Linked DNA regions of Drosophila melanogaster. The protein of the gene in region 4 interacts with the protein of the main gene of each other region in a pairwise test. Each region holds a gene or a part of one and is shown on either strand. Other genes may lie near its edges. The genes, in order: CG11444, Taf11, CG14151 and Rca1.

What was found.
Region 1: the proteins of Rca1 (region 4) and CG11444 interact in a two-hybrid assay, tested with the Drosophila melanogaster proteins (one large-scale study listed by BioGRID).
Region 2: the proteins of Rca1 (region 4) and Taf11 interact in a two-hybrid assay, tested with the Drosophila melanogaster proteins (one large-scale study listed by BioGRID).
Region 3: the proteins of Rca1 (region 4) and CG14151 interact in a two-hybrid assay, tested with the Drosophila melanogaster proteins (one large-scale study listed by BioGRID).

Annotation. Positions count from the first base shown.
Region 1 is NC_004354.4:4,551,083-4,559,461, forward strand, and holds CG11444 (uncharacterized protein), read right to left. Parts: upstream 3,317-8,379; 5' UTR 2,901-3,316; coding exon 2,253-2,900; 3' UTR 2,035-2,252; downstream 1-2,034. Other genes in the region: CG11436 (uncharacterized protein), read right to left, coding at 1-725; CG3527 (uncharacterized protein), read left to right, coding at 994-1,161, 1,226-1,816; CG3546 (uncharacterized protein), read left to right, coding at 7,028-8,379.
Region 2 is NT_033779.5:9,757,817-9,765,670, forward strand, and holds Taf11 (TBP-associated factor 11), read right to left. Parts: upstream 5,447-7,854; 5' UTR 5,359-5,446; coding exon 5,090-5,358; intron 5,028-5,089; coding exon 4,706-5,027; 3' UTR 4,608-4,705; downstream 1-4,607. Other genes in the region: zf30C (zinc finger protein 30C), read left to right, coding at 934-937, 1,864-2,237, 2,305-3,683, 3,749-4,325; und (uninitiated), read left to right, coding at 5,813-5,918, 6,020-6,832, 6,954-7,381; ppk18 (pickpocket 18), read right to left, coding at 7,541-7,743, 7,800-7,854. UniProt on the Drosophila melanogaster protein: The TFIID basal transcription factor complex plays a major role in the initiation of RNA polymerase II (Pol II)-dependent transcription.
Region 3 is NT_037436.4:10,622,716-10,630,625, reverse strand, and holds CG14151 (uncharacterized protein), read left to right. Parts: upstream 1-2,141; 5' UTR 2,142-2,172; coding exon 2,173-2,286; intron 2,287-2,346; coding exon 2,347-2,578; intron 2,579-2,640; coding exon 2,641-2,885; 3' UTR 2,886-2,946; downstream 2,947-7,910. Other genes in the region: CG42535 (uncharacterized protein), read left to right, coding at 1-68, 126-273, 331-411, 465-526; CG42536 (uncharacterized protein), read left to right, coding at 630-761, 825-908, 967-1,114, 1,168-1,266, 1,317-1,408; CG34238 (uncharacterized protein), read right to left, coding at 3,251-3,528, 3,584-3,731, 3,797-3,880, 3,948-4,058; CG43127 (uncharacterized protein), read left to right, coding at 5,063-5,231, 5,291-5,409, 5,475-5,625, 5,687-5,820; CG42521 (uncharacterized protein), read left to right, coding at 7,063-7,117, 7,172-7,488.
Region 4 is NT_033779.5:6,848,408-6,856,750, reverse strand, and holds Rca1 (regulator of cyclin A1), read right to left. Parts: upstream 4,437-8,343; 5' UTR 4,330-4,436; coding exon 3,094-4,329; 3' UTR 2,885-3,093; downstream 1-2,884. Other genes in the region: l(2)k09022 (lethal (2) k09022), read right to left, coding at 1-901, 962-1,224, 1,337-2,505.

The DNA.
Region 1 (8,379 bases), on a different chromosome or scaffold from region 4:
CTCAGCAGGGGTATATCCTTAAAGATCGGCGGAGCCAGCAAGGCAGCCAATCTGGCACAGGGCAGGGCTTCCCGGGCATTTCCTCGCATGCGCCAATAGTACGAGCTTAGGGTGTGGAACTTCCAGGAGGCCGGATGATGCTGCAATCCGTCCACCGCAAATCGCCGGGTCAATTCCACGGTGGCCATGCCCACATTGGTGTCATGCTCGCGCTCCAGAAAGGCAGCGGCCAGGACCTCGGGCCGAAAACTCTCCAGATGATCATAGGTGGCTGGACCCACGCTTAATCGATGGTAATCGCTGCATATCGGCTCCATTCCCATCGAGGATGCGCTCTTCTGTATGTGCAATTGCCTCTGGTCCGGAAGATTAATCCTTTTCAACTGCTCTGGCGTAATTTTCAGGTAAGACATTCGCTTCTCCAGCATGTAGTAGTCCATGGCGCACTTGGCCTGCTCGGCCAGATCCTCACCGAAACGCATCGAAAATCGTAGGTGCTCCACAATCTGTTCCCGCTTGCGCAGCAGATCCAGATAGGAGCGCTCCACATACTCACTGTACCTGATCTGCTTGAGAAATGCCGCCAGATTGTGGGGTTCACGCATGTGGAATGGAGAGTCCAGTTTGGGCACGATCTGCTCCTCGCGAAGAACCCAATGATTGCAGGCCTGGATCAGGTGAAAAAGGCCAAGCAGCACGGCGAACGCCAGCGGGCACAGGCGCATCTTGTAGGATTGCAAAACCAGGAGGACGACAAGGATCCGGTAATCCAAATGCAAACAAAAAATAAACAAACTCGCCGTCGTGTGACCAGACCCAAGCAAATGCATTCGTTGTTTTTAATACTGAAAAACATATGCCATACTATTTAAGTTGGGTATTTAAGGGAGCCCGCAACAAGGTCATACTGAACTTGTGCATTTCGAAAAACGTGCGGATTTCTTAAGAATAATTTCGGAATTGTTTTTAACCATATACAACTACTTTTACGATATGGGCGGTCAGGGCAAGGCGATCAATAGGAAGCGTAAGTTTGTCGGTCGCAAGGCGGACGATCCGGAGTTCGATCTGGACAAGAAGCAATTCAAGGTGCTCCATCTGAATGCCACCGAAAAGCGGCTGATCATCGTTTTGGAAGGAGCCCAACTGGAGACGGTGAAGGTGGGTCATCATCCTTCCATACATATATATATATATATATAAATACATATTTCCATTGCTGCAGGTGCACAACACTTTCGAGCTGCTGAACTGCGACGATCACGCGGGAATTATGCGCAAAAACCAAAGAGATCCCGGCTCCTGTCGTCCGGACATCACCCACCAGTGCCTGTTGATGCTCTTCGATTCGCCACTGAACCGGGCCGGTCTGCTTCAGGTCTTTGTGCGCACCGAGCATAATGTGCTTATCGAAATCAATCCCCAGACGCGCATCCCGAGGACATTTAAACGCTTTGCTGGCCTAATGGTGCAATTGCTGCACAAGTTCCAAATTCGCGCCAATGACTCCTCACGTCGTCTGATGAGTGTCATTAAGAATCCGATTACGGATCATGTGCCGGTCGGTTGCAAGAAGTACGCCATGAGCTTCTCTGGCAAACTATTGCCCAATTGCCGGGATCTGGTGCCACATGGTGACGAGACGTCGGCCAGCTATGATGAGCCGGTGGTCATCGTTATTGGAGCCTTCGCACATGGCGTTCTCAAAACGGACTACACGGAGGAGCTGTTCTCCATTAGCAACTATCCACTTTCGGCGGCCATCGCGTGCTCCAAAATCTGTTCCGCCTTCGAGGAGGTTTGGGGCGTGGTATAATCCAAGTCCAAAGCATTGTTTTTCTTAGTTTAGTCATAGCTAGTAGTTAGTCTACATATTATTCTTTTGATTGCCTTCCATTAAAATTTGGTGGAATATCCAGACCAGAATACTATTTTCATCTTTCTTAAAGTTTAGAACATACAAAGACGCTTATATATATAGTTATAATATAATCTGGGATCCTAATTAATCATCACGAAACACACGCACTTTCTCTGTTTTTACAATTAGTTGGTTTATTTATGTTAATTGCAGTTACAAAAGATAGGCTTAGAAAACTTGCATAATTTTGAAGGTATGTTTGCGGTAATTTATGCTTAACTAATTGCACTGTTCATCAAAAGGATTATTGCGAATTTTGTATACGTTGCACGATTGAGAGCTCTATTAAATCCCACATGGGAAAGGGAAGGTTTCAAAAGGGATGGATTATCTACTTGGCACCCGGCTTTTTGGTGCCCACATCGGCTGCCTTCTTTTCCGCCTCCCGCTTGGCGGCCGCCTCCTCGCGCTGCTGCCGGATCAAAGCCAATCTGGCCAGATCGGCCTTAGCCTCGGTGGTTTTACCAGCAGCATGGAGTTTCTCGTAACGCTGGCGCGCTCTCTGCTTTTCGATCTGTTCGCGTTCGCGGCGAGAAAGCTCCGGCTTGGGATTACCGCCGGCACCGGCTGGCCCGTCGTCCAGCTTGATGGCCGATAGCTTTTGTGTGGCCTTCTTGGTCACCCGGTTGGGATTCTCGATTTCGATGAGTGAGGCCACGCCCTTCTTGGCATCGCGCGCTTCCGCTTCGGAGTCATCGTCGGAATCCTCGCCAGACTCCGATTCCGAGGAACTTGCCGCACCGGCGCCCGCCGCTGATCGAGACTTTTGATTGCGATTCACGGGCGCTTTACGTGTGGCGGGTGCCTTGGCTTTGGACGCAGAGGAACTGGCTTTGCCGCCGGCAGCGTCTTTATCGTCGCTATCTGATCCCGAGCCGCTGGTCTGGTCGCTATCCTCCTCCGATTCCTGTTGCAGTTCCTCGGGAGATGTGAAATGGCGACTGCGACCTTTGTGGTTGACGAACTTTCCTCGTGGCATGATGATTTATGGACTGATCCTTACGGTTTCCCGGGTATTCGCAGGTCTCTCCTCCTGTATGTCCGATGTGCTTGTATCTAGAGCTTTTACTCTGGCTACGTTAACGGATTCTTACGGTCCGTTTATGTTTCGAAAATTATCTATATTTAATCACGTTGTAAAAAATTTTTTTGCACTATTCACAGTGTTGTACAGTGCCGGTCAAAAGTGCGCCCGTGCATTCACTGCATAGTAATACCGCATAAATAACACGAATGGTAATACCGTATCACGCCTGGCGCCCTCAAGTGTTCAAGTTTGCTGTACTCGGTAATTAACCGCTTCCATAACCGTTTCAAAACAAAGCGGGAAATTCGAAAATGTCTTTGGTTGTTTAATTTTTTGAATTTGCTTATTTTTTTTTTTTTTTGCTCACTTCGCTTGACTAGCACTTTGAATAGGAGCCTACTTAGCGTAGTTTCTGAGCATTGCAAGTAACTTTGGGATAAACTCTTTAGTTTTATGATTTTTTGTTTATCATTGTAATTCTAAAATATAAAATATTTGTATACATTGGAAATTAAATACATATATAATTTCCTTGCCCTTCACCTGCTATCTATCTGTATATAATCTCACTAAAAAATATCCCGATTTTGGAAGTGTGCTCTTTGCGGCTTTTATAAGAAAAAAAAACGGAAAACTGCTTAAAATTGAAATAAATAAGGCACACGTGTTGGGAATTCTCATTTGGGCGATGGCAAACCATAAATTAGTGGTACATATTCCACTCTTTTCTTTTTATTGGGTCAACACCATCGATTGAAAGAAGAAAAACCGATTTTACTTTTACTCACTGATTGGTTTCTTTTTTGAAACCGCCATTTTGTCGATTCGCTGCAACTGCAACTGCAGCTGCACAGAATCTCGAGATGCAGGAAAACGTGATTATGTATGTATGTATGTTTGTGTGTATATAAATGAGTCGCACTGGCATTGGTCTGCTGCTGTGATTTGCCGGAAAACCAGTTTTTCTTCGCTTTTCACTGGCCGCCCGCCACAAGTTGCAAGCGAATAATGCGGCATTAATAACCAGAAATAAACGAAAATCGTTTTGCATATTTGTGTCAGCGCACATTCCTCGATATCATGCATCTCATTAACGGAAACTCTCACATATGTACAACTTATTGATTTTGGCCGGCAAGAAAAAAAAAACACAAAAAAAAAAAACAATAAAAAAAGAGCCAGAAATATAACCAAATATAATATACTCGAAAATTTAATGCACGAATTAATTATGAATTCCATGTGTGCTCGCCACGAAAGCGGCAAACAAATATTCAAAAATTCATCGTAAATGCTGTTCTTCTCGCCCGCTCTTCATTTCCCCCGATTGTTAAGTGAATAAATTTAAATGAAAGTTCTTTTATTTATTGCTATTACAGCGGCAAGATGCTGCTTATGCACTTAGAAAGTGCGCCATGCAAATGAGAAGAAATTAGTTAATGGAATTCTAATTGCGTATACGCACTTTCTTGCTGCGTGCGTCAGTTTTTTTTTTTTTTATACGATCACTCAGATCGGATGGCGTATAAACGTATATCTACTATATATCTATGCATGTGTGTGTGTGTGTGTGTGTGTGTGTTGTTGTGTTGCAGGTGGGCCAGGTTTTCGTAGGCGTGTGGGTGCGGGATGTTTGCACACTAGCGATGGGGAAGTTGCCCCCGCGTTGTAAACACCTTATGATATAATTGTAATTTCGGCATAGAACAATTTGTATAACTATGAAAAAGAAGAGCATTAACTTATATTCATTTTTTTTCTTGCTCAACTTTTTGCAGTCACTGTGCACAGTGGACAATGGACAATGGACACTTCTCCCGACATTCGGCACTCGACTTCACTGTGCTCTGATTCCCGATACGATCGTGGTATATGCACATGTACATACATATGTACATACCATGTGTGTACAAATGTACATATGTATAGTAGAGCAGGCACTGTGATGTCTCGCCACAAATGGGTCGATGACAGATTGCGTTGGTTGCTGAGGCTGATTGTGATAAAAAAAAAAAAAACAGAGCGCACAGAGTACAAAATCGAAAAGAAACGAAACAAATTCCCGTCTAATATCGTTTGGTGAACTCCGATTTGGTTGTCGATCGGGCGTCGCTTCCCCCATCATATTGCCTTAGTTTCCATTTGTCTGCGTGTGTAATCAGTAATCAGCACTTGATATCAGTACAAGAACAAGGTGTGTTCTTACTTGTTACTGCTACTGTTGCTGCTGCTGGTGTTGCCCGTTGATGTTGCTGCTGCTGCTGCTGCTGCTGCTGCTGCTACTTAAAGAACGTGCGCGACATACAAATATGTGCTGCTGCAGGCTCTGCCAGTGCTTACTGTACTTTTTTTTTCGCAATTACTATGCACAAAAGGCAACACTTATTTATCTCCACAGTTGGCCACATCTCTTCAGTCTTAAGCCCATTGATTTCGAACCAGGCATTACTTAATGTCCTAACAATGTAGCACCTTCTAAATGGATTTTCTTAAAAATAAAATAAATGTAGAATAATTATCTCAAGCGGCTAGAGAGAGAGAGCATTTCAGCTGCCATCTCTCCACCACCAATGCCAAAATCCATCTTGGATTCTTCGGCGGACCTGGATCACACCCAACTATTTGGCCCGCGGGCTGCTTCACTCCTCTTGGCTCTGGAAATTTACGATGCTTCATTAGCATTCACACAGAGTGGACAATAAATGGCCGCAGCTCGGAGTGTGTCCCCGTTGAAAATGCGTTTGACTTGGTCCAACTGACTTAAGTTAGTCGGCGGGCTCAACTAAAAACAAAAAAAACAAAAAAAAAAAACAGAAACAAACTGTGATTTGGAATGTTTATTGGCTTTTGTTGGCCAATTTCGCTAAATGTCTCTTTTTCGGTACATTTTAGGTAGAAAAAAAAAATCTCGAAAACGAATTCAATAAATTAATTTCGTTTTTGGCTCAGCAGCATCAAAGAAACTTTAATCCCGCTAAGAAATCTGCTTTCCCATCGTTGTTTCTTCGCTTATTCCATCAAAGGTCAATTTCGCTTTCTATACTCTTTTGTCGAAATGCGGTACTATGTTTTTATCTGAGCATATGAAAGATGACTTAAGAATGAGGGTATTTAATATGGCAAACTTGGTTGGTATTTAATGTTGCAACTACAACATTGAACTTTCGCACCACGTGTGCTGAGCTAACCTTTCGTTTCGGAATATCTAGAAATGCCACACCAGTCCCTTTGTTCGTTATCTGCTCTTTGTGCCAACTGTCGGATAAATCATCTCTTTGGTCAAAATAAATCTTTAGCACAACTCAATTGTGGAGAGGAATGTGTCTGGTTTAAATTTAGTCAATAGAGTCACCAGAACTATTTTTACGAGCTGCGACATTGGACACGGTCCCCATGTTCAACTTTCCACTCCCAAAAAGGGTTGAAATTCATACAGAGAGAAAAAAATCCCAAGAAATTTAGGACTTATTTACATATATTAGGACTTTATACTGGGCATAAAGTTTACCTCTTGACCTTTTCATACAAAAAAAAAAAAAATGAATTACAAAATTCTTGAATTACATTCCAATTATGTACGTACATATGTATAAAGGTGTGGCTAAATTTAGCTAGTTTTTTTCTTTGTGCAAAATGATCGCAACCTAGATGACCCACAAATGGCCCTTTTGGCAGAAACTTTCATCCGCATCGATTCGGGGTTATTAATGATCGGTCGATCCATTGACCCCGACAGAAAGTCAAAGAAGAAATAGTAATAAAACGGGTTCTCGGAAGAAGAAAGCCCAACGATGCTAGCCAAGCTGCGATGCTGAGCTGATGAATAATTCAGAGCCCTCGGGTTCGTAGGAAACCGTAGCTTTCGGTCAACTGGGTAGCTAAGCTACTACGCTGAGCTAAACTGCTCGATCTGGCCAAATGGACTAGCTAGCATATATATATATTTTTTTTTTGGCAATTAGCCGTGGGTCAATAGGTCCGTGTGGTGCGAGCTAATATAAGCCGGTTGCCGATCGTCGGCTAGCTCAGTTTTAGACGAGATGAGGAACGGCTGTGTCTGGGCTTTATTGGCTCTCGGGATGTGCCTGGTGGCCACCAGGGTCGCTGGAGAGACCATGATCGAGGTGGACGAAAATGGCGATGAGTACGAGCTGAAGCGATTCTATATTCAGGGTCGCCAATTGAAGGGCGATGGCAGTCAGTCGCAGTGTGTGGTCACGAGAAGGAAGCGTTCGGGTCGTGCAGCAGGATCTGGATCAGGATCAGGATCGGCAGCTCTGTCGGTTAGTTCGCAACCCCTGAAGGTGGAGAGTCTGCCGGCGAAGGAACATCGTGAGGGAGGAGCTGTTCTGCAGGAGGTGGAGAGCAATAGCAATAGCAATAGACGTTATGTCGCCCTCACTGGAGTCCACTTGGAGTCGCCTCTGCCCCAGGGTGATGTGCAGAACGATGACAACGACGATGACGACGAGGAGGACGATGATGGCGACGATCAGTCTTCCAGAAATCAGTCCAACTTTGTGCCCGCTGCCTTGGCTTTGCCCCTGCAAAGCCAGTCCACTGCTGCCCATCTGAATCAGGGAGTCAGTGTGGTCGCCAATGCAGCCAGTCATGCCAATGTGGCCGAGGATGCTGGCATCGTGGTGGTCCAATCGCATCAGCCGCCCAAAGTCAATCCCGATACCCATGCCGTCTTCGAGCTGAAGCCCGTTCAATCGGATGTTGTTCACCAGTCAGCCGGCGTTAGCTTCTATCCGTTCGTTCAGCCTTGGGAGGTGGTGGACCAGCATGAGGATGATGACTACGATGAGGACGACTATGACGAAGAGGACTACGATGATTTTTACTACGGCGGCGGCAATGGCTACTACAGAGATCAGCCCGGCTTTAATGGCCTGGGTGTTTTCGAGGAGGAGATCATCAGCGAGGACCAGCCCGTCTCTACGATAGCCAGTTGGGTAACCGGTGATGATGACAGCGATATTCTTCCCGCTGTCAATAAGCGGCCCAATCAGAAGAACAAGAACAAGAAGAACCAGAAACAGAAACAGAAACAGAAGAACAAGAATCAGCAACAGAAGAACAAGCGACAGCAGCAGAAGAAACGCAAGCAACAGGCTCAAGATGACGAGCAGCCTGCGAAGCAAAAGAAAAAGCCGCAGCAGCAGGATAAAGATCAGAAAAAGAAGCAGGATAAGGATCAAAAGAAGAAGAAGCCAGAGGAGAATCCAAATCAGCAGGAGATGGAACAGCTTACTCCCGTGGAAGTGATCAAGAAGCCAGTGGCTATGGAACAATCAGCCGTTGCTTCTTCGGCCACAAGTAGCAGCAATGTCGCTGCATCCTCCAGCAGTGTTTCATCATCGGGTAGCAATTCTTCGGACAAGAAGAAGAACAAGAAGAAGAAGAAGAAGCCTAGCAGCAGCAGCAG
Region 2 (7,854 bases), 2.9 Mb from region 4:
TTATTAACTTATAAGAAAAATAGATAACAGTTAAAGAATAGTGAATTAATTAACGTATTATTATCATCTACGACGTCAATGGCTTAGAAAAGAAAATAAATAAAATTTAAAATATAGTTTTAAAGACTGATTTATTAAAACAATCCATGGCATTACAAGAAGTATTTGCTAAATTTGAATTTAAAATCGCCCGCCGAGAATCGGGCAATGCAACCCTGGATTGCGGCTCTCTCGCTGTGCAGTGAACAAAATTTGTGTATCTAATCGGCGAGTAAGTAGTATAACAAGCTCAAAGATTGGTCGGTTCCTTTCTGCATTATTTTACAGCTGTATTTTCATTAACAATTAGTTATGCTAAGGGAACTTAAAATTTATTTTTCAAAATTTTCAAACCGTGGAGGGGAAATTGCGCCACGACTTTAAACGCTGAGAATCCAAAATAAACGAGAAGAGCCGTACCGAACTGGTTCGTGGCAATGCTGGGGGCGAACCAGTTCCGACGCTCAAATGAGCGCTGCGACCAGGGCTGCATTGCCACCCTCGAGCTGCACAAAGAAAAATAATTTACTCGCCAGCAGCTCATTGGCGTTTTTTCATTTTTTAAAGTGTACTTAAGAGTTGTTAATATTTTTCGCAGTGCTCGGCCCGACCACAACAAACAATAATAGCCGAATAATAGTGTGAGTGAAAATGCGGCGAGCTGCATTCGGCGCAAAACCAAGTGTTCCGCAGCACCCAAAGCCCAAATCGAACAACTCGAAATCGGAATCAGGCGAAGCCATCATTAGCGAGACATTTGTATTTGTCTGACCCCTCAGCGGTGTCTGAGAATCTCGGAGAGTCGTCGTGGAGCGGTGTGGAGAGGAGAGAGCAGGAGCAGAAAAGGGCCCACAATCCAAGTCCAAGGAAGCACCACTCCGATACCGAACCGATATGGGTAGGTGTATACGGTCTATACGGTCTATACGGTCTATACGGTGTATATGGTGTACATGGTGTGTGTTGTATGTAGGTGGTGCATGTAGATATGTAGTCGTGAATCGCACGATATCGGGGGGTTAAGGTGGAGCCCCGTTTTGGGGTACAGCCGATGCAGGCCAACTAGGAGCATTTGTGCGTGATGCGCGCACTTCAAGTCGCTGTCCTGCCTACCTGCCCCGCCTCCCCCGTCACTTGCCCATCGACTCGGCGAACGCAACGCCACCAGGGCTGCAGCACAGCGTCGCTAATCGGCTGCCGTCGTCGGTGTTATTGTTGTTGTTGGAGGTGTCGGTGGTAGTGGTGGTGGGTTGCAAGAACGAATTGAATATCGAACAAAGGGCTCGTTGCCGATAGTTGGTTCGAAAGGAGACTTATGAATACATTCATTTTATGGCACTAAAATATGTTATGACCATTGGAAAACAGCTTTTATTATTTTTTTGAATCAAATAGAAATTGAAAATAATATAAATTGAAACCATTATTAACATAATAATGAATATCCTAAATTAATTTATAAACTTGAAAATTACAAATGTCATGTCAATTAATAATTTATCAGAAAGAAGCTGCTTATAAAAATTAAAGTAACCAAAAGAATAATAATAAAATTTGATAGTTTGCTTAAAACGAAAAAATAGAAAAAACGGAAGTCACTAGATCTAATTTGATTTACATAGTTATTATTATTGTGCACAATGCAGCTTCTTTACTAAACCCTATGATAAATATAAATACAATAATATTGCGACAAGTGCATTTAAGACAGAACTGAAAGACCCAGCCCTGGTAGGCGCATACAAACCCAAACCAACCGAAAATCAAATTTGCATTTGTTTACGTTCGCCCCAACATGCTATAATCTCAATTCCCCACTCGCAGAAACCGAGTCGATGGCTCCAAGCAGCAGTGCGGCGGCTGCAGCCACCAAGCTCCTGGTGGAGATCACCACCGACGGAATACCCAAGCTGCACTGCCCGGTGTGCAACAAGGCGCTGGTCTCCCTAGCCGGATATGTGAAGCACGTAAAGAAGCACCAGCCGCCGGGCGGCTTCGAGTGCCGTCACTGCGATGCTCGGTTTTGCCACGAGGAGGAGCTCACCCAGCATGCAAAGGATGAGCACGGAGTCACTGGCGCGGTAGCTGGACAGGAGCGAAAGCCTTTCGTTTGTGAAAAGTGCGGCGCGGAGTACAAGTACCAGGAGGCATACCGTCGCCACTGCAGGACCAAGTGTGGCGAGGAAAAGCTACCCAGGGTGAGTAGAACCGAAACAGTGGAACCGTTTGTAAATATATTAATAATAATTACTTTCTCTTCCTTAGGAGGAATCCCGACCAATGGAGTGCAAGTGCTGCTACACCCGCTTCTCTAGCGCCTCTAACCTATCCAAGCATCGACGCAGTCGTCCCGACACCTGTGGACAGCCGGAATACGATTCGCCCGGTTCATCCGATGGGATGAAGAAACATAAGGCCTTCCGCAAGAAGGACAGAAACAGGGACTCTGATGATGAAGATACCACCAGCGAAGAATCGGAAGATAGCGATGATGACATTCCTCTGGCCAGTCGTCTGAAGACGAAGCTCAAGCAGGAGAGCCAGAACTCGGACTCGGGCGACGAGTGTCCCGACTTCGAACCCAACAACAGTGAGGACGATGCGGATGCATCCGGATTCCAGCTTCCTCCGCCGGCTATGGTCAAGGTGGAGGCCTTCGACGAAGAAGATTTCGAGTACCAGGACGCCAGCATGTATGTGAAGACCGAAAGCACCGATATCTTTAGCAACGAAAAGGATAAGCTGCTGGATGTGCTGCTCAATGAGGGTGATGGCTTAAAGCCCTTTGAGAGCCTAAAGGTGGAACAGGGCGCTGGTATACTAGACGAAATCGCGGCCGTGCCGCTAGTGGAGGTTGCGGAAGAAGATGTCTTAGAACTGAGGGGTCATCAAATGGAAAAACCTCCCGGACCAAGAAAGCGGGGCAGACCGCCAAAGGAAAAGATACCTGTGGTCAAGAGAAAGTATCGCAAACGAAACGCACCTAGATCGCCCTCGCCTGACGATTCATCGGGTACACCAAAACGCGTAGCTAAGATCAGCAAAAAGGAGCTAAAGGAGCGCCTTAAGATGATCAACAAGATGGAAAAATCCTGGAAGTGTCCTCACTGCGTAAAAATCTACCACATCCGCAAGCCCTACGAAAAGCATTTGCGCGACGACCACAAGTTAAATGAGGCGGAAATGAAAGAGATCTTTAAGGACGTGGACGTCCATGCTAAGCTGGACGAGGAAGTCTTTAAGTGTCCCATATGCAGCAAGATCTATTTGGTGGAGAAGCGCTTGGTCACCCACATGAAGGTGCATGGCGAAGATGGCAAGCTGACTTTCAAGTGCCCATGCTACTGCAACCTCTTCTTCGCCACCAAGGAACAGGCCACTGAGCATGCTAGGGCCCAGCACAAGGAACTGCTCTACTGCGAAAAATGCGACAAGTACATGACCGGACACGACAGCCTCAAGAACCACGAACGCAATTTCCACTCGAAGAAGGAGCCGCGCAGCCAGCAGCGCAACCTCATCTGCGACAAGTGCGGCAAGAAGTTCACCGGACGCACATCGCTCTCTGACCACGTTCGTTCTGACTGCGGCCGTCTACCGCTCTACGGCTGCAGCGTTTGCGGCAAACATTTGTCCACCGCTGGGTAATAACTATTTGTGTTTGAATGTTTATTCTAAGACTGTTAGTAACGCATCTTCCTTTCCGCAGTATTCTCAAGACGCACATGCTCCTTCACAAGGCAGACACTCCGTACCAGTGCGATAAGTGCGGCAAAACATTCAAGGTGAAGGCGCAATACAAGTCGCACTTGAAGACGCGCCACACGGACTACAAGCCGTACAAGTGCCACCTGTGTCCCAAGGAGTATCCGTACAGGGAGAGTCTGCTCACCCACATGACCGTGCACACGGGCATTAAGCGTTTCCTGTGCAATAACTGCGGCAAGCGCTTCACTTGCATCTCCAACTTGCAGGCACATCGCAAGGTGCATGCCGATACCTGCGGCCAGTTGCCTTTGAATGCCAAGGCCACCCAGTACATGGGCGTGCAGCGCGGAAAACTCTTGATGGGCGCTAAGCCGGAGGCGGGCATGGAGTACGAGGAGACCAAGACCTTGATCGCCCAGGATGTCATCGACAGGGACATGCCCATGGCACAGGAGCTCAACTTCCCATCTGACGGCTCAGCGCCATTGGCCACGGTGCCCCTGAACTACGCCTCCACACACCTGGTGCCACACATCGTACTGCAGACCATGCAAGCCGAGGCCCGGCGAATGGAGTAACTTCGGAACACATTCATTTAGCGATCCCACTCAATAAAGATTCTTTTGTAAACGGATGCGTATTCTACTGTACAACAAATGGGATGACAACTACATAATAATATCTACTTAATGACTGGATTAATTAAATAACATTGAACGTAAATAAGCTACATAAAATTGATGTAGATGAAGGTTTAACGCCATACGGACCTGTCAAAAACATTTAAGAAAAATAAATTTCCTTATAAAAACACGTTTCGGAATTTATTCGTAATAGAGAAAATTAATTATATGGGATTTGTTAAAAAAATCTTTATATTTATTTACTTTTTACTTGTTTATGTATTTTTATATTGACTAACAGCCTTACAAACTATATTTCTTAATGTCTCGACTCGCTAGTTCAGTCTGAAATAGGGCTGCTGGTATCTGCCTATGGGCATCCGATCCTTGGTCCTCAGTCGTCGCACTGCCTCTCGTATGAATTTGGGCTGCAGGGCACCGGATTCACCTTGGGCCTCCATCACGTCGAGGGCTTCCTCCACAACCTCGCCGACGAAGACCTTCGCAATGCCGGACATGGCTATCACAACATTCTGGGACACGGAACAGCCGGTGATAGTTTGCATTAGACGCTTGACGGCGGCCTTGGGAAAGGCAGAGCGACGATACATTTCGTAGCGATCCAGCTGTTCTTCCGTAAAGTTGGAAACGAGAACCCTGGAGTGGAATAAAATAGTTTTTATAGGATTACCCCTTCGAATCGCTTTAAGCTAACTTACTGCATTCGTTCGCGCTCCTCCTCCTCCAGTTCCTTCTTCGTCTTGAGCTTTTTGTGCGCCGGCTCGCCAGAGTCACCATCTCCGTCCGTGTTCTTGTTGTCGTTGTCCCCATCCGCATCCTTGCCATCACGATCCGCATCGTTTCCCGGATCCGAGGTGTCGCTGTCCTTCCGCTCGCCGGAGGCCGACTGGAAGAATTTCAGGTCGACATCGTCGCCGTCGCTTAGGGAGTTGCTTTTTTGCTGCGTGGGAAAGAGGATTTCGTCCATTTAAATGAAATTTGAAAAGCACCAGCGAATAATAAACAAAATCAACCAGGGATGGAGTTGCACCATATTCGCTTTTTGCAACACTCAAAAGTTCCGCACCACATAATAGATGAATATAATTCAAAATATCGGATTAAATATATTAAAGGTATATCATAGTTGTTTATAAGGTGGCTTTGAGATTTTAATAAATAATAAATATATAAATATACAATATTCGATAAACTTTTATTTTTGTAGTGTTTTTTTTTTCTTCAAATTAGTGCTCAAAGTCAAATTATGTAAATTTCAAATTGAACATTCACTGGTTCCGATAGTCCACAGCACGTTTTACAGCACTGGCCTCTGACACCTCGTGTTTTTGTTCTTTTCTCCGCATCGCCATCGCCAGGCAAGAGTGCGCGCTACATTTTCGTTTATTTCATCGTTCAGCCAGCAACCAAGGCACTGCGAAATGTCTGCAACCGAGACTCTGAATGTGGAGGCGGCAACGCCCGAGATCGGCGAGGAGGTCAAGAAACAAAAGAAGCCCAAGCCGAACAACAAGAAGCTCCGCCAAGGTGAGTGACCTCATGCGAGCAGTGCACTGTGGTAATTGCATTTGCACGACCCTCTCCGCCTCAACCACCCACCACCCACTGAACTAACCACTTGCCCACAGAAGCGGCAGCCAAAATAGCCTCCGGAGAAGGCGGCGACGAGGAGCTGACCACAAACGGAGATGCCAAACCGGCAACACCGGCCGCTCAGCCGGCAAAGAAGAAGGGGAACAAGGGCAAGAAAAGCGGTCAGACTGATCCGCCCACCATACCCATTGCTAAGCTTTATCCGGACGGCAACTTCCCCGAGGGCGAGATCGTGGAGCACCCCACGCCCAAGGATATGCCCGACGATCGTACGGCCAAGGACCGATTCACATCGGAGGAGAAGCGTGCTCTGGACCGTATCAACACGGACATCTACCAGGAATTGCGCCAGGCGGCTGAGGCCCATCGTCAGACGCGTCAGTATATGCAGCGCTACATTAAGCCGGGCATGACCATGATCCAAATCTGCGAGGAGCTGGAGAACACTGCTCGGCGCCTGATCGGCGAAAATGGTCTGGAGGCTGGTTTGGCCTTCCCGACTGGTTGCTCTCTTAACCATTGCGCCGCCCACTACACGCCCAATGCCGGAGACCCCACTGTACTGCAGTACGACGATGTGTGCAAGATTGATTTTGGTACCCATATCAAGGGGCGGATCATTGATTGCGCCTTCACCCTGACCTTCAACAACAAGTACGACAAGTTGCTGCAGGCCGTCAAGGAGGCCACCAACACGGGCATCAGAGAGGCGGGCATCGATGTGCGCCTATGCGACATCGGCGCCGCTATCCAGGAGGTCATGGAGTCGTACGAGATCGAGTTGGACGGCAAAACATATCCCATCAAGGCGATTCGCAACTTAAATGGACACTCCATCAGCCCGTACCGTAAGCAAAAATCTATTTATTATAAATATTTTAAATATGCTTATGCTTTCCTTAATATTTTTTGTTTAAATTTATTGTGATTTGTGCAAACACTTAATGAAGTCTAAAATTAAATTCTCAGGCATTCATGCTGGAAAAACGGTGCCCATTGTGAAAGGCGGAGAGTCCACTCGCATGGAGGAGGATGAATTCTACGCCATTGAGACGTTCGGCTCGACGGGTCGCGGTCTGGTCCATGACGATATGGACTGCTCGCATTACATGAAGAACTTTGATCTGCCGTTTGTGCCGCTGCGCCTGCAGTCATCCAAGCAGCTGCTTGGCACCATCAACAAAAACTTCGGCACCCTGGCCTTCTGCAAGCGTTGGCTGGACCGCGCCGGTGCCACGAAGTACCAGATGGCTCTCAAGGATCTGTGCGACAAGGGCATTGTGGAGGCTTATCCGCCGTTGTGCGACATTAAGGGCTGCTACACGGCTCAGTACGAACACACAATTATGCTGCGACCCACCTGCAAAGAAGTCGTTTCCCGTGGCGACGACTACTAGTGGGATGAGGAACTGGACAGTGACCGATTTTCGGCGATGTATGGCTTGCATTATATACGGTTTTTGATATAAGTTCATTCTATTGTTGATTTTTTGTGAGCATGCGCCAACCGAATTATATATACAATGTATTATGCTCAGAATATAAGCGGAGTGAGATTATTTTCGAAGTTGTTCTTGTCTTGGCAGATTGCTACGGAGCTCACGCCAGTAAAGTGAATAGTTGTGATTGATAGGCTCCTTATCTAATAAGAATGACCTGTATATGTAGACAAATCCTTTGCCTGTAAGATAGTACAGGATCTCTATGTAACTGACTATGCTGAAACCGTACATAAGCGAGAGAATGCCTCCAAAGCGATCTAAAGGGTTAGTTAATATTTTTTAACTACTCGTCTTAGTTATTTACTGTACTCACTTAGCAGAACAACCCAACTGCTAACCATTTGAGATTTTGTGGCTTGGGCAAAGCG
Region 3 (7,910 bases), on a different chromosome or scaffold from region 4:
TGTTGGCGCTTTTGGGTGTCATTTTTTGGGTTATAATGGTCATCCTGTTGATGGTTGGCCTTTATAAGGTGAGTTTGAATTTATTTATTTAGTGGTATTAATTCCTAAAATTATAAACACATTAGCGCAAGCCAGTTTTCGTAAGGTATTGGCTTATATTTTCCATAGTCGGCTTTATAACCGATATTCTATTTCTACTTTGGGGCATTGCGACCTCAATAACTGTGGACTGGGACCGTCTTAATGAGTTTTCAATAATTTTCCTTGGAATATGTAAGTGATATTTAAATTTAAAATCAAATACAATTCTAATGTTAAGTATAATTTTAGTTGTTGAAAGCGCCTGCATATATTTCATACATCGGTACTATCAGATTATGGATGAATCGAAAAAGAAGAGGACCCTATGTTGTAAGATAGCTTTAAACTAATATTACATTTTACTACTAATCGATTTTATATAGGTGGCGGAAAAAACGAAAAGAAAAAGTCTAAAAGCCCAAAAAAGAAGAAAGGCAAAAAATAAGATCTTTCAACTTTAGTTGGCTTTGTATTTCCGTACTAAAAAAATATATATTTATTAGATTGTTTCAAACATTTGTGTATCGAATAAATTTATTTCTTACAAAATGTCTATTGAATCGGGAGAGCTAAAGTTGCCTACGGATAATCTCCTAAGGACATGCTTTGTTATTGGCGCTTTTGAACTGGTGCGTTCATTGTATTTTTCATTTAGTTCAGTTTCACTCATGGTCTTGCACGTAAGTATTGTATTTGAAAAGAACGTTCTTTAACATTTTTAGCCATTTATTGTTTTGCATTAGACGAATTGGTATACCATAATGGCCTTTCTAAGTACAATAGCTTGGATTGCGACCGTTGGTGGACTGTTTGTTGGTTTATTGACAGTAAGAATTAAAAAAATTTACCAACTATATACATATTTAACTGTTTCGTATTAATTAGAGTCGACCAACTCTGCTCGTATTTTGGTTACTGTTCACTGCCTTTGCAACTGCTACGGATATTATTTATTTAATATGGAATGTTACTTCATCTCCTATTTTCGACGCAGAACATTTAAAGCGCTGGACCATTTCATATTTGGGAATCTGTATGTTTTTAATTTAATAGCATTCTTAGACATTGAATTATAAATCTTTGCAGTTTACGAGGTCACTTGCTTATACTTGGTATTCAGATACTTTAGGAGATTATATTCCTACGTCCTTTTGGAGGGTGATAATTATGATACGACTACTAAAGGTGAATAGCTTAAGCACAGATTTATACGATATACTATACATAAATTTCAGATAGAAAAACAGAAGATTACAGAGATAATGAGACTCAAACCCAATCTCCAAGTTCAAAATACAGGACTTCTGGAAGATCTTCTAAAGGATAAAATGCCAGTTTGGACAAAAACAGCAAAAAGCTTGATTAATAATGATCATTTATGTTCGTTTCATTATGTTCAATGTCCACACACGGTTCAAAATCCCTTTGGAGTTACTAAAATAAATTAAAAATGGTTTTCTTCATGTGTTATTTGGATTTCTATTTACGGGAAATCAATTCCCGACCCCCCATAAGCAATGATAATAATTGACTTATACAGTTTTCCATCTATTTTCCGATGCCTGCGAGGACGATAGGTGGTCACGTTGCCATCGAGGGACCAGGAAAAAGGACAATTCAATCTCCAGGACCTGCTGACAAAACAAATGCCATAAATGAGGAACGAAGTTCGCCAGCAAAAAGCAGTTCACATTGGTTTAGAATGTTTTGGGAATACACTTGGCAGCTATTTTTAGAGCTCAGTATTTGAATGAAGAGATTATAAATGCATGTAATTTAGATGTATAAATTAAAACGGAAATTACAAAAAAATTCATGAAACTAAATATAATTCGCAGGAACATTGAACTTGGCATATATTGAAAACTTCTGTAGTGTATTGTACTTTTGGCCACTGAGTCTCCCTACATTCCCACGCTTGAATACCACTGTGCTGTGTCCATGAATGTTGGCAATCAAACGGCTTTGATTAACAGGCCGCCAAGACCCGAGTAACCCCCTTCTCCAATCGCCAAGTACGTGCTTATCATCATTATAGCTTTGATTTAGTAGACAACATTGCCAGTGATGTGATGAATCTTAGCCTGGGCGATGGGGTCAAATTCTGATGGATATTTAGTGCCCTGTGCCTATTGCATCGCCTTGCTGGACTTCATATCCGCCCTGCTATTCGCAATTATCTCAGGAGTGGTATTTGCCAGGCATGTAAGACAATTAGGCCACAGTCCTTTCAGGGAAATTGTGGCTCAATTTTGGTATTTGCAGGGTCATTGGACCGCCTTGGTTGCACTGATCTTCACCATTTTCTGGATGGTTATAATCATAGTTTTGATGGCGGGTATCTATAGGCGAAAACTGGGACTGGTACGATTCTGGTTGGTGTTCACCTGCTTGGGAATACTTCTAGATGGATTTATACTGCTCTACGGCCTGACCTTGGCCATATCTGTGAACTGGGAAGGTGTCAAAATCACAGTGCTGCCCTTCGTAGGACTGGGTAGGTCTAAATAATAATTAGCGTATTTAATTTACTGAATATATAATTGAATTTCCTTTTAGCCGTGGAAATGACTTTTGTCTATATCATATACCTACTTTATCTGGATATGATTGATTACAGTGCAACAGAAACGCCTCCCGATGAGAAGTATAGAGAAAGGAGTGGCTGTGATGTGAAATACGCTGAGGAAGAGGAAAAGCCACTGGATCGCAAGGATCTGAAACGGATGGAAAAACAAGCCAAGGAGCGTATGAAAAAAGATAAAGCCGTTCTCAAAAAACTTCAGAAACAAATGCGAAAGTGAAGGTATTAAGTGTTTAAAGTATTGATTTTTATATTTTTAAAATAAACATGAAATTGAATGCATTGATTTGAACTTTTCTTTTTGTCTGAGACAAGCTCTTTAACTTTTATCACACGCAGGATGCGGACCACTCACACCTACACAAGCCACTCACACACACACACACAAGAACGCCAATGTTAAACACAAAATCCTTTTAAAATAATTTGCTCAGCAGTGAGTAAAGAAAAAATCTAGAGATACAAATGCAGCTAAACGAATTCGAAGAGTTGCATGCCCTGTAGATAAATAATATATTTTTAATATTTTTACAAACTTGTCTTTTAATATTTTAGCTATAAAATAAATATATATAACCCTTCATTTTACGTTGTTGAGCTGCTGTCTGAAGGTCTGAAAAAACCCATCTTCATTGGTTGTGACGGAGAGTTTTTAACTATTTTTCCCCTGCTATTTTGGTTTTGAATAGGTCTTTTGGTTTCGCCATAATTAAAATGATGCCTTTGGTGACTGTGTTCTCTTTCATAATCCATACAAGCTTCCTGTTGTGCTATTTTTGTGGCTATAGCCTTATGACAGGCTTGGCAAAAGGCCAAAGTCACGTAGAACCGTTGAACGATGTATAGAAAAATGCACTCCACAACTGATAGAAAAATATAAAGTTAATTTTAAGGTGATACTTCTAATATTGCACTCACTCAATCCCACCATGAGTAATAGTCCATTTTTGACCAGACCCATTTGGAAGGAGCTCTCGTTGAAAACGGCATACAACACCAGGCACATCTCGACCATGATTCCCACGCAGGAGAAGATAATCCAGGCACGAACACAACTAGGATGGCGCTGTAATTAAGCGAAGGATACCATTACACTGTCACCGTGAGCCACCTTTTTAAATACGAATATACCCCATGAATGCCAACCAGCAGCATCACAATCATTGTTATCCAAAAGAGGCCAAAAATAGCGGCAAAAATTGTTAGCCAACTTAGCTGGAAAAATGTGAGAAGATTTCTGAAGATTTTCTACTGTATATAAAGATTTAAAGGGTAGCCTTACGTGTTCGCAAATTGTCTTCAAACTGACCATGGAAAAAAGCAATGCGCTGATCAGATCAAAGCATCCTATAGCATAGGCCCATATCAACAGCGATTTCTTGCTGGAGATCATATCGAAAAATGAAAACATTATTTGTGGCAGTTGAAGATAGGAACATATGATCAGTTCAATGAGTGTATAACTAATGATTGTGTAAATAGATAATACAAGTATATTTTTAAGCCGTTTTCTTCAAATTTGCTAGTACATTTATAAATAATTAATTTTGAAATGTATAGATAGAGCATATTTAACAATTACTTAAAATCTTTCTTCATATTTAGGGTATATTTTAATATGTTTTTTTAGCTCAGCTAAACAAATTACTACGTTGTTCGATCACACTCCACACACGGTATCAAAACGGAAACGGAAATGACAGCCAAGTTCCGCTGCTATGGTTGTCGCATCTATTTATGCAGGGAAAAAATGAGACATACCACCGTATAGTGTACGTAAGTATATAAGCATATACCCATGCATATAATGCCACGCTGATGAAATACGTGCGGCGTCGGCTCACGCAAACACACACACACACATAGCCACTGCTCTTACCCTGTGTGTGAGTGAGCGTGTGTGTGGTAGTGAGTGTGAGTAAGAACGAGGGGAATCCCCGTTGACAAATATAATTTTACTTTTTTCGCGCTCATTTGCAACTTGGGCGAAAAAGTGGGAGCACATTTTGATCCCCGGGGTGCGACAAAGCCTTTTTAAACATCTCACTTCCAGTTCAAGTTTTTCCAACAGAAGCAACAGGAAACTTGAGTAGAGATGGAACCGTAATGGAGGCTCAGTTTCTTTAAAATAAATTATGGCACTTTAACAAATGTATTTATCAAACTTAAGCTTGAAAATTGTAAAAAAAAGGTTCTTAAATAAATGAAATCTATCAAGCTTAAGATTTTTATTTGTATTTCTTTAACTCCAGTTTGTTCGCATTTCCTATTGAGCAATCTTATTTCAGACCCTATTTATTTTTCGGTACACTGCTAAATTTGTCATATAAAATGTTTTTAAAAACCATTAAGTATCAACTAAAACCATAGTGATTGGACAAGAAAAAGTTGAAGGTGATGAATGCTTTGAATGCTTTTGGAATGGCCATCGGCTGGATGGACATTGCGGGAGTTTTGTTCTTCGAAATGATAATGTTCTATATGATGCGACGTCGTCGATTGGCACAAAAATCAGAAGTTGCATCGATTGAAGCACAAGAGAAGTGCCATAGAGATTCATTGCCCAGTAAGTGCACTCAATAAAGGTACTCAAATGCAGTGTTCTAACCAATTTATGTACTCGAGATCTCTTGACAAGGAAAAAGCTGAGTGAAAGCGAAAACATTTGGATATTCTGGGGCTACCTGTTGATGCTGAATATTTGGATTGGGGTCACTCTGCTCATGATAGCTGGCATCTCATTTGTGGGTGAAAAGTATCCCGTTGAGTCTCATCAACTCCGTTCCATTCATTCTCTTCGTATTTTCAGCAAAAACCGGAGCTTATGACATTATGGTTGATATGGTGCGCCTGTGGTTTGGTCTTCGATGTCTTCCTCATTTTGTGGTGGGTCTACGAACTTTTTGTGGGCGACGCTATTGAGGCACTGACCAACATTTTGATCTCCCTGCTGACCATGGGTACGTTTTCTGCCTTAAATTAGTTACTAACTTTATTATCTTTGTGGCTTTTATTTGATAGCAATTGAGTTTGGCTTCATCTATGTTATCTACACCATCTTCTTGAACTTGTCCAATGCCACGAAAAATGAAGAGACCAAAGTGGCAGAAAAATCTAGATATCATTTTATGATGATTTCAGATCAGAAGAGATAAATTCAAATATGTTTGTGTTATATTCATAAATTTCATTTAAAAGTTTCAAAAATATTACGTCTATATTAATATCTCCATATTGACATGATTTAATTACAGTTTTCTATACAACAGATGCGTCTTGACCGGGTCATAGGTCATCGTTCATACGGCGCCAGACAGAAAACCATATTTTGTATCTGTTGTGCCGACTCTTGTTTCTCGTTTTCCTGTACTTCATCTGCTTCTTTCGAGGGCTTTTGTAGTTTTTAATGGTCTGCAGCACGGAAATTGATTCATTTCCGTTTCATGCTCTGCGCTTCCGGTCTTGTCTGCTCTCGTTCCTCCTACGCCGCTTTAAGTTTTCCAGATCTCAGCTGCTCGTATTGAAATCAAATTCAAGCTGTTTTAGTCCTAATTCGGCATCTAATTCCATTTGTCCGGGCTTTGGAACAAAGTGCGTGGATTGTCAACTTGTCACTTGCAACGCGATGCCAAAGTGAAAAGCAAAATATTTCTTCTTTATTAAACATTGCTGGAAGTCCGTTTATTTTCAAACTTTTTTATTTTTTATATACGTATATTTCTCTGTTTTTTTTTTTGCGGGTTTCTTTGGTCTCCAAGCGCTCACATTGGTCGTCCTCGAAGGAGCGACTGGCTGCTCAAATTTATTGTTTGCAAATTGAAATTCTTGTCGACACGCACGAGCAAATCCATTGGGAATGCACAGCATAGCGCAGAATTTCAGCATCTCAGCTCTGCTCAGCTCGTCAGCGTCATAGTCATAGTCAGAATTTCGGATTGGGACGGCAGAATGGTGGGGGCGTGGCACTGGTACGGGATTTGATGGCTTTTGTGTGCCCGGGCAGCAGCTCATCATGGCTCTTTAGTATTTATTAAGACTGCGATGTGCCATGAAACATATTTCGATAAAACAAACAAAAATTTTAGAGCGCCGTTGACAAACGGAGAATGGGTCTTGGGTGCAGAATAGATGGATGGAAAAATCGGAAAAACATCTAGTTATTTTCCACAGCATGGAGTGCTCCTCAAACTCATGTCTAGAATTTATAGTCATGTCGATAAGCCAGTATCGAAAAGACACCTTTTAAACAATCATTGAAATCAGTGAAATATATATAGTTTGTTTCAAACAAAAGTGAGTAGTTCTCCTCTCTTTCGAGGTGAGTTTTTCTCTCCATTGTGAACAGAGTGCTATATATAAAACATTTTTCCGACTAAGTGGATCAGTCAACTTGAAAAATGCGAACGGTGCCCATCTTGTTGCTAATTTGCTGCCTAGGCTGGTTACACAAAGGTATCTTATAAAAATAACTTTCTAATAAGATTAACTGAATAATGTTCTTCGTAGGCCAAGCTGACGAAAGGAAGATTGGCGCTGTGGGTCCGCCTATGAAACAGAGGAGTCTTCGACATGTAAGCTCCTTTGCTAATCCAGGGCAACCGGGTAGACCTGGCAGCGGAAGACCAGGACGACCTGGTCAGGGAATGCCTGGCCGACCTGGGCGTCCAGGAGGATCAGGTGGAGCTGGAGGAGCCGGAGGAAGTGGAGGTGATGGAGGAGCAGGTGGGGCTGGCGCACGACCAGTAAGAGGAGGGTATTGGAGGAAAGGTATTTCATTGGGTCAAAGGCGACCAGAGCCAAGGTCAAAATATTATTTGTATTGAATCAAATTTTAAAGTGTATAGAAACTGTTGCTTAAAAATGTGTAACATATTATAAATAAATTAAAGAATATTTAAAAAGGATTAATATTAGATTAAATAAATAAATTCTACAGCTATTTAAATTAAATAAAACAAATTTTTAAACGATTAAAATATTTACAAGGAATTTAAATTTTGCTAAAGTAGACCGATTTTGCGAACTACAAAAACTACGAACGCATTTTAAAGTAATACTTAATAATTCGATTTGCAAATGGGGAAATTTATTACACCAAATATTTAAAAACTAATTATTTTAACAAATTGGCATTGCTTTTACCATAAAAAAAAAACATTTGTTTTTTGAGATTTAATTTACCTTGTACACACCGTTAATGCAAAAACATTCTGTGATTACTTGCTAGCCATAAATATTTATTCTT
Region 4 (8,343 bases):
TTCCAAGGAGTGGATGCTAGAGCTGTCCATTTGGTGTTCTTAACCAAAGTCAATAGGAAATCCACATACAATTGTAGAGGTGCACAATTCTGTGTGTTTTGACTACCATTGACGACACGGAACTGGAGGCGCCGACTATAAAGCCCAATTTTCTCCAGCATGTGAAGGCTTTCCCGAGGCTGTAGTTCCCTCTTGGCGTAGGCAGTTAGCAGGAGTAACAGGTGCGTCAGCTGGGAGGCTTTCTGAATGTACAACTCACCGCCATGATCTTCTACGCTTTGGAGCAACGCACGTTCCTGACTACTCAGTTCCTGATTGCTGCTCGCTATGATGTCCAGGAAGTGCTGACGGTGCTCACCGACATTAAAGTCGCTGAATTTGTTGCTCACTTTAAGTTCTGCCAAGAACGGAACTTTACTGACAAAATCACTGCCAAGTAGAATCCGCAGAGCCTTGTGCTGATGTTCAGCTAATGCTTCGCCAGGGAAGAGAAGCGGCATCAGCGCTAATAGCACCAAATTTGTGTCATAGCTTCCGCTCACCAAGGCAGAGGTCAAGTGACGAACAGCGAGGGGAACCACAGGTTGCCATTCCTCATCCTTTTCGGACTGAGCACGATACAGCAGATGACATAGGGTTTGAGCCAGAGGCAACGGACCCAACATCTCGGCGAGCTCTTCGGTAGGCAATGATAGCAAGGTTGAGACCACAGCACCGCTATCATCATTTATCCTATCGGGCAGACATTCCTGCAGAAGCTTAACGCTTCTCTCCCGCTTTTTAGTCACATTCAAATTCTGGAGTAGTTTCTGAACAGCACTAAGTCGCCAGTCAGCGCTGTAGTGGTATAGTTTTTCGTAGGCGTGCTTCGCTTTTTCATCAGTAGTGTTGAGACGGAAGCCTTCAATCGAATAAAACATTATATACAATAAATATATAAATATTATTATTTTTTACTTACCCAAAGCCAACTTTAAGGCCTTCTGGCGATTGCTTGTGGAGGATTTCGATCTCAAGGCCTCTTTAACGCTCAGATCAAAAGCTTCTGGATAGCGTCTCTCCAGCTTCTCGAGGTAAGTGGAATACCAGGCTTGAAAGGTGGTCTTTTCCGTCTCGATCTCATCATCCGAATCAATTACAATGGTATCGTCATCTTCGTTTGAGTTAGTTTCCATGGGCTCTGGTGCATCGATCGCAGTCTCTACATAAGTATCCAAAAAGCAACTGAAATGGTTAAAGTATATATGTTATTTAAATCGGAACAGCTGAATCGTTTTAAATTCAAGTGTATAAACTCTTATTTTTATTATTTTCGATCGATACTTCTAGTACTCACTTGATCAGTTGCTGAGCAGTCGGCTTTGGCATTGGCACCTCTGACAGCAGGTTGTCCAAGAACAGTTTGCATGAGTTAGAAGAGGCGTCATCGTCCCGAATGGCGGCCACGGCTCCGGTCATGAGTGGCATGCAGATAGACTGGATGGCGATGTTGCCTTTGGCCAGGGAGGACAGAGTGGAGATAAGCCACTTCTTCCCAACCAGATTGAGTATGGTTTCCGGCTTAAAGTGCGGCAATGCGGCTTGCTGTTTGCCATAGATGCAGACAAGCAGGAGCAGCGACTCACTGTGAAGCCTCTCAAACGGGCAGTTGGCCACGCGTTCCAGCAGGGCATTGCACACCTTGCTCTTGAGCTTGGTGCGGGAAACAAGCTGAGCAACGATCACATAGGCGGCCGCCATAAAGTCGATATTATCGGAAATCAGGCCACGAAGCAGCGACTCCAGAATAGTGGTGATGTGCCAGTCCTGCAGTGGTTTGGCCGTTTGCAGGGCGCCAACTACGACGGTGGCATAGAAGTTGATCTGGGCTTGCAGTTGGTGGGCTCGAGGACCCAGTTCCTTAACCGCCTTCTGGGTACTTTGGCAGATGAAGCCGAGGAAGGCGGGATTGCTGGCGGCTCTGTTAATAATAGCAGTCTTGGCTAGCGGAACGCCAGGACGCTGCAACGGGCGCAGCCAGTACCAGTCGCCATCCGATGACCGGAGCCTCATGGTCTTAACGATCTGGACAAAGATCATTGTCTCGTGATAGGGCAGAATCAGGGCCATAACTTCGCTACGGTTATACTCGTGAACCTGGAATCGTCGCAGCAACCATTCGAAGGCCATGTGTGCGGGGCGGAGCAGAAGGTACGGCGAAAGAAGGCGCAGAAACTTTGCAATGGCCGCGTCCAGCATCTTGTTAATCTCCGGCAGCTCCACGGAACGCTCCAGCGTCAATGTGGCCTCATCGAACAACGTTAGCTGGAACTCCTTGAAGGCCGGATTAAAGTCGGTCAGCTCCTGCAGTCCCGTTAACCCGATCTCATAAATGGACCGCCGATCCTTGGTGGCCGCCTCCTTGGGATCGAAGAGTATGGAGGCGCGACTTCGTGCATCTGCCAAAGTTACCGACGACTGCGGCGCAGCCAGTTTCTGCAGCTGCTGTGCCAACGCAGTACTCATTTTGGATGATCGTTTTTTCCTTTTTTCTCAAGTTAATTAAAGGTAAAAACGGAGAACAATAAATGTGCGGCAACCGCACTCCACACGTGTTTTGTTGGTGTGGCCAAAGATCTCTTGGCAGTACACAAAGTAGCTTACGGTAAATAGCGCGCATTGGCGTTAGCCAAGACCCAAACCAGTATACTACAGCTGATTTTAAACATTTTCTGTTTGAATTTATTTTATGCAATGCAATCAATAATAATAAAATATTTTTAAGACTTGCCTAACATATTAAGGCTGCCTTTGAAGCCTGTTATAATGATGTATAATAACAAAGCCTTACATGTTAATAAACAGGAATCACTTTCCCCCAGTTATAATTATAACAATTATAGTTCTAAAAATGATTTATATATTTTGCATGTGTAAAAAATACTTAATCTCGCAGAGGTACAGAATTCCGACAAACCTTACATGGAACGATTTAAAAACATATATATGAATGTACGTGATGAAATGGAACTTAATGCGATGGACATAATACGAAATTAATGAGATTTAAAAAAATCGAATACTAATCGTAATAGTTAAAAGCCTATGATAAAGCTAAAAGCAGAGCCGCTTGAGCGAGTTCTTCCTTGTGATTTTCGGATCACGGTTCTGGGCACGTTGTGGCGGCGTCAGTCGCTCCCGTGGCATCATCAGTTTGGATGGTGTGTCCAGTTCGGTGACCAGGCAACGCTCGCCGGGATGCGACTTGCACAGACAGTTGACGCAGAACCGAAACTGGCAGATGACACTGGTGCATTCGGCGAAGTTATATGGCGGTCCTTGCGGTGAAGTCCTGACCTCGTCAAGATCCAGGGACAGGAAGCGTTTGAGAGGCGGACCCGTCATGCAGGGGAATGTGCTGGTTGTACGTCCAATAGGCAGAGTTTGCGACAATAGGTTTTCGCCACACTTGGCCGCCTCGCTTATGAAAACCCGGCTGCCTCGACCGCATCGCGGACACTTGACGCGCTGCGTCTGCTCGCGCAGCACCCTTCCGGCATCCACGTCCATCAGGTGGATGCTCGAGTTGCCCGAGTCCATTAGCGAGGCGGCGCTGTTGGCCAGGCTGCTATGGTTCGAGGTCTGCAATGGCACTGTGTGGTTTGCCTTGGGCACATGGCTGCACCGCTTGGGCACGTGAGGATTCTCTTTGGTTAGATTCAATTTGAGTCGGTGGTTCTGTAGGCGCTCCAAGTCGCGTTGGCTGCGATAAACAGCCTGCTTCCAGGCCGGCGATACCTTGGTCATCACGTCCAGCGTGTGGGCGCCCACATGACGCAGTATGCACTGCAGTGCCGGTTGCCATTGCGCCAGCTTGGCCACGATATCCAGCTTTTCGACACCGCCGTAGAAGCGATTCTTGGGCGGTTCTTCTATGTGGGGAAAGAGCAGCTTTTTGGACTTCTTGGGGCTACTGTGTGGCGATTGAAAGTGTTTCTTGCGTCGCTTGGGCAGACTATGCTCATCCTGCAGACGCGGAGTCATAGAGAAAGGCTCCTCCTCCGCGGAAAATTTCTTTTGGGGCTGTGTTCTGGGATAGGGCTTGCCCCAGTAAAGGTCCTGCTCCTGGTGGCCACTGGGCGTGTTCAGCCCCCGAAAGAATGTTGTGGTATTCGATGCATTGCGACAGTTTTCGCCCTCAGCGTCCTCCAATAAAAATGGCGTCTCCGCGGTGGAATTGTGCAGCGCCAGGAAGGATGTGTAGCCAGACTCGTTCATCTCCAACTCGAAGGATGACCCTCGGCTTGGGCTCTTCTTCCGCAACGCCGCGCGCCGATAATAGGCGCTCATCTTGACCGAATTTTAAACTTTCGAATTGTTATGCTTTTCGCATCGGTTGATTGTTTTTGGGTACGGATCAGTGTGACCGCCCCAATAAAATACTAACTGGCTACTAAATAGATACCAGTTCATTGTCGGGTCAACTCAGAATGCTACGTATCGCGTTGCCAACCATTTGATATATATTATCGTGACTGTTAGGCAAACCATTTAAACTTGTGCATTAAAAGATGCCACTTGATCGGATTATTGGAATCTGACAGTTAATCGTAGACTCCTATTAACATAAGCAACTTCAGCCATTTATAAACATGTCTAAAAGAGTTCAAGCTGTACAAGATTTGAGGTTCTGGAATAAGATAGCGTTTTTTCATTCTATGCAGTGTGTACATACTTCCATATTAGCGAGTACACATTCCAAAGCTAGCGAAGACGCACTTGCGACTAATGCTCTCGAAAAAAGAAGTAAAATAAAGAATAAGAGTGATAAATAATATGTATAATCAGTTCATTAAGTTAAAAACACCAAGAATTTGACTTTCAATAAATTATATTTCCATGCCTTACGCCATAAGTATAAAATAAATACCTATATACTCAGCTTATTGCTTTAATACCAATTCGAAAATAGAAAACTTTCACTTATTAAATATGGAAATAAGTAATAGTTTGAAAACATTCACTTTATAAAAACGGGATTCCGTTTAACATCTTATATATTATTATTATATTATTATATTATATTATATTATTATATTATATTATATATATTAAAAGTGTATTTCATCGTCTTAGCTTTGAAGACATTGGTAAAATTATGTTGATAAGCTTATAAAAATACTCTCGATTAGCTGACATATGGTGCTATTTAAATTTCTACGCCTATAACAAAAAGATTTTAATCGAACATAAGTATATCTATATCTATTAAAATTGAAATCATTACAAATTATTTTATGAGATATGTCTTCTGTTCCCTGTTTGGCCCAATCAAAATTCGGCAGTCAGGATAATCTGGCCTTGGCCATCATCAGTGTCATCAAATTAACGAAAATCCCTCAATAATTTATCATTTGTTCTCCCTGACTCGTCCTTAGATTTTTTCCGTTCCGCTTCCCTCATCTTCTTCTTTGCCGCGTCCTTTGTGCCCACTGACAAATTTGCCAGCTCAAGTTTTTTGTGCAAATCATGACGGGGCATAGATTTGGGATTCATGTGAAAGTCTTCCTTCGCCGCTAGGTGGATAGTTTCGTCAGCTGTCCATAGAGTCAGCTAAATGAAGCCCCATGACCCACCACCACTGGCCAACCCATGCTCGTGCCCATTCCCATTCCAAGGACCATTTGCAACCGCCCGACGACTTCATCCACTTGCTGGGAAAGATGAGAGGTCGAGAATCTGTTGTGGTTGCCGGGGGAAAATCAATGAATGATATTTCCTTTATGAGGCTCAATTATTTGCTGCGGGGATTTGCTATTCTACCCCGGATTCTGTCATCTGGTTCGTGCCTCATTGTCCTTCTAAATGCTTTGGCAAAATATTTTGGGTATTTGCGCTGCCTTTTGTCGGCCAGCAGCTTCTGCGTTAATAATTTATGAATACTTGCTCGTTTATTGTTTTGCATTATTTATGGTTTTATTATTTGTCTATTTGCTGCCACCAAAAGGGGCGTGTCGGCGGGCAAAGATTTTGTTTTGATTTTAATTAAATCGACGGACAGACGCACATCGGCTTAATTTAAAGTCATTTGACTGTTCTAATCTCTTTTCCACTGACCGGTTTGCCCATCTTTTTTTTTTTTCGGGCGTGGATATGGCAGCATATTAATTGTCGTCGTGGCTTTGGGATTAATCTGTGGTTCATTTGGTTCGGTCCTGGGAAGTCGTGGTCACCCTGTTTGCTTTGAGATCAGAGGGATGTTAACTAATGACTTTGTCAATGGGAGCCGAATGAGTCGAACTAGGGATATGTGCTAGGCATTGATTTATCTTAGGTGTATATAGAAGATAACTGCAATGATATTTAAAGTATTATATAAAATATTACAAGATTTGCTAGAAATAATATGTTGTTGGTTGAATAATGAAGTAGTGCTCTTGCACTCATAAATATTGTTTTCAAAAATAAGTCTCAACTCATTTCCTTGACTTTACTTTAAGGACTTACATTACTTCCTGTACAAATCGCGACTTTACCATACCATGAATCTATTTGCCTTGTCCTGCTTCGAGAATGCTAACTAACCTTCACCCCAAAAACTACTGTCAACAGAACACAATTCCTTATGGCTGAGGGAAAATCCTTGAGGCAAGGCAAATCCATGTCCAAAAGGTCGCGACATATGTAGCGCATATATGCATACATATGTTTTGATGTGGAGCTATGTTTGCACGGATATTGATATGCGGCTGATTAATTTGAGTTTACGCACCAGAACGACCCGGAATGATGACAAATGGGGGAAAGGAAGGGCAGCTCCTGTCAATATTTGCACTCAATCCGTACATATGCTCTAATTATTATCCTTTTGGCAGTGGGCAGTGCCCTGTTTTGGCATTATGTCGCTGCACGCACACCCATTCCACTCCATTGGTGCTTTAACCCATGACAGCCCGATCAAACATGGGTCGGTCGCTCGAATCAACTAATTATGGTAATTTACCGCGGAATGTCAACAAATATTTTGTAACCGGTTATTTTATCGCACGGCCGCGACTCACGTAAGTCCTTCGACCAAGGAAGGAAGTCACCCATCCACACTGGACACACTGCAACTGGAACTGAAGGTGGAGGATGGAGGATGGGGTGGAGTTGGAGATGGAGCTGGCCAGGATGGCATTGTGAGTTGTCGTGGCTTGGAGCTGGACGGGGCAGTCGGAGCATTTGACAAACGATGTTTACCGCGGTGGGAGGCCATCCTGGGTGTCCTTGCGGCCACGCGAAGTGGTCGGATTATTTTTAACCAAACGAACGGACAAACTCAAATGGCTGTGCAAGCAAAGTAACCCGAACTGGAACTCAAACTGGAACGGAACCCAATTCGCTTGATTGTGTTTGATTTCGGCGGTGGGTTTATAAGTATATGAGTACTCATTCTTGCTACCCTTTCGTAGGTTGTTAACTTGTTAAAATTGAGTTGTTAATGGATGTATGTTCCCTAGTTTTAAAAAGTTTGAAGAATATCTTAATGTCACTTTTACTTCTTATGTTTAGAAAGATTTAATGTTGCTGCTTTCTAGGGTATCTCAACGTTTGCACTTTCTCTACAAGTGACCAACTATTTGCTCTGTTTTATGATGGCCCACTGCGTGGTAATTCATTTTTAGTCAATAAATCGCTTGGTTACCCGTGCTTTTTTGTCCTTTTACCTGGGAGTGGCGAAAGGAAAACAAAAATTAAACTGATTACCGGGCCAAAGTTGAGAGCCAGAGGAGCATTATTAATTTGATGGTAATAAGGGAATAATCGCACTCATTTATCATTTTAATGTTTTCGCATTTCACGATGTGGGCGAGCCAGAAGTCGAAGGAGCAGTTAAGTCTGCCAGATAAAATTTAATCATTTCTGCGATCTATGAATTGCAGAAAAATAGGATAGGAAATCCTATAGAAGTGCTCTCAATAAATTGCAAGAAATATTAAAAAAAAAAAATACCTATCAATCAGCGAAAATGTATTAGGAAATTAAAAATGTTTTAAATAAAATTGAACTGCTCCTTTTTTTTTTTTGGTAACTTGATACATTGCAGTATCAGCAGGCAATTTGCGAAATTTGATTGATTCGCCAATTGCGATTTTGTTGTATTTTAAAAAACAAAACCATCCATCCCAGTTTCTTTTTTTTTTTTGAATAGGACACGTGCATTGCACATGACAAATGGCTGAACTCAGATGTGCAAATTTAAAAACGCTTTATTGGGACTTGCCAATTAGCAGATTAAATTACAGAATAAAGTAAGTACTTCTTTTCTAGTTAGATAAATGCTCTTGACTGGTATTCATTTATTTTTCTGTTTTCTTTAAT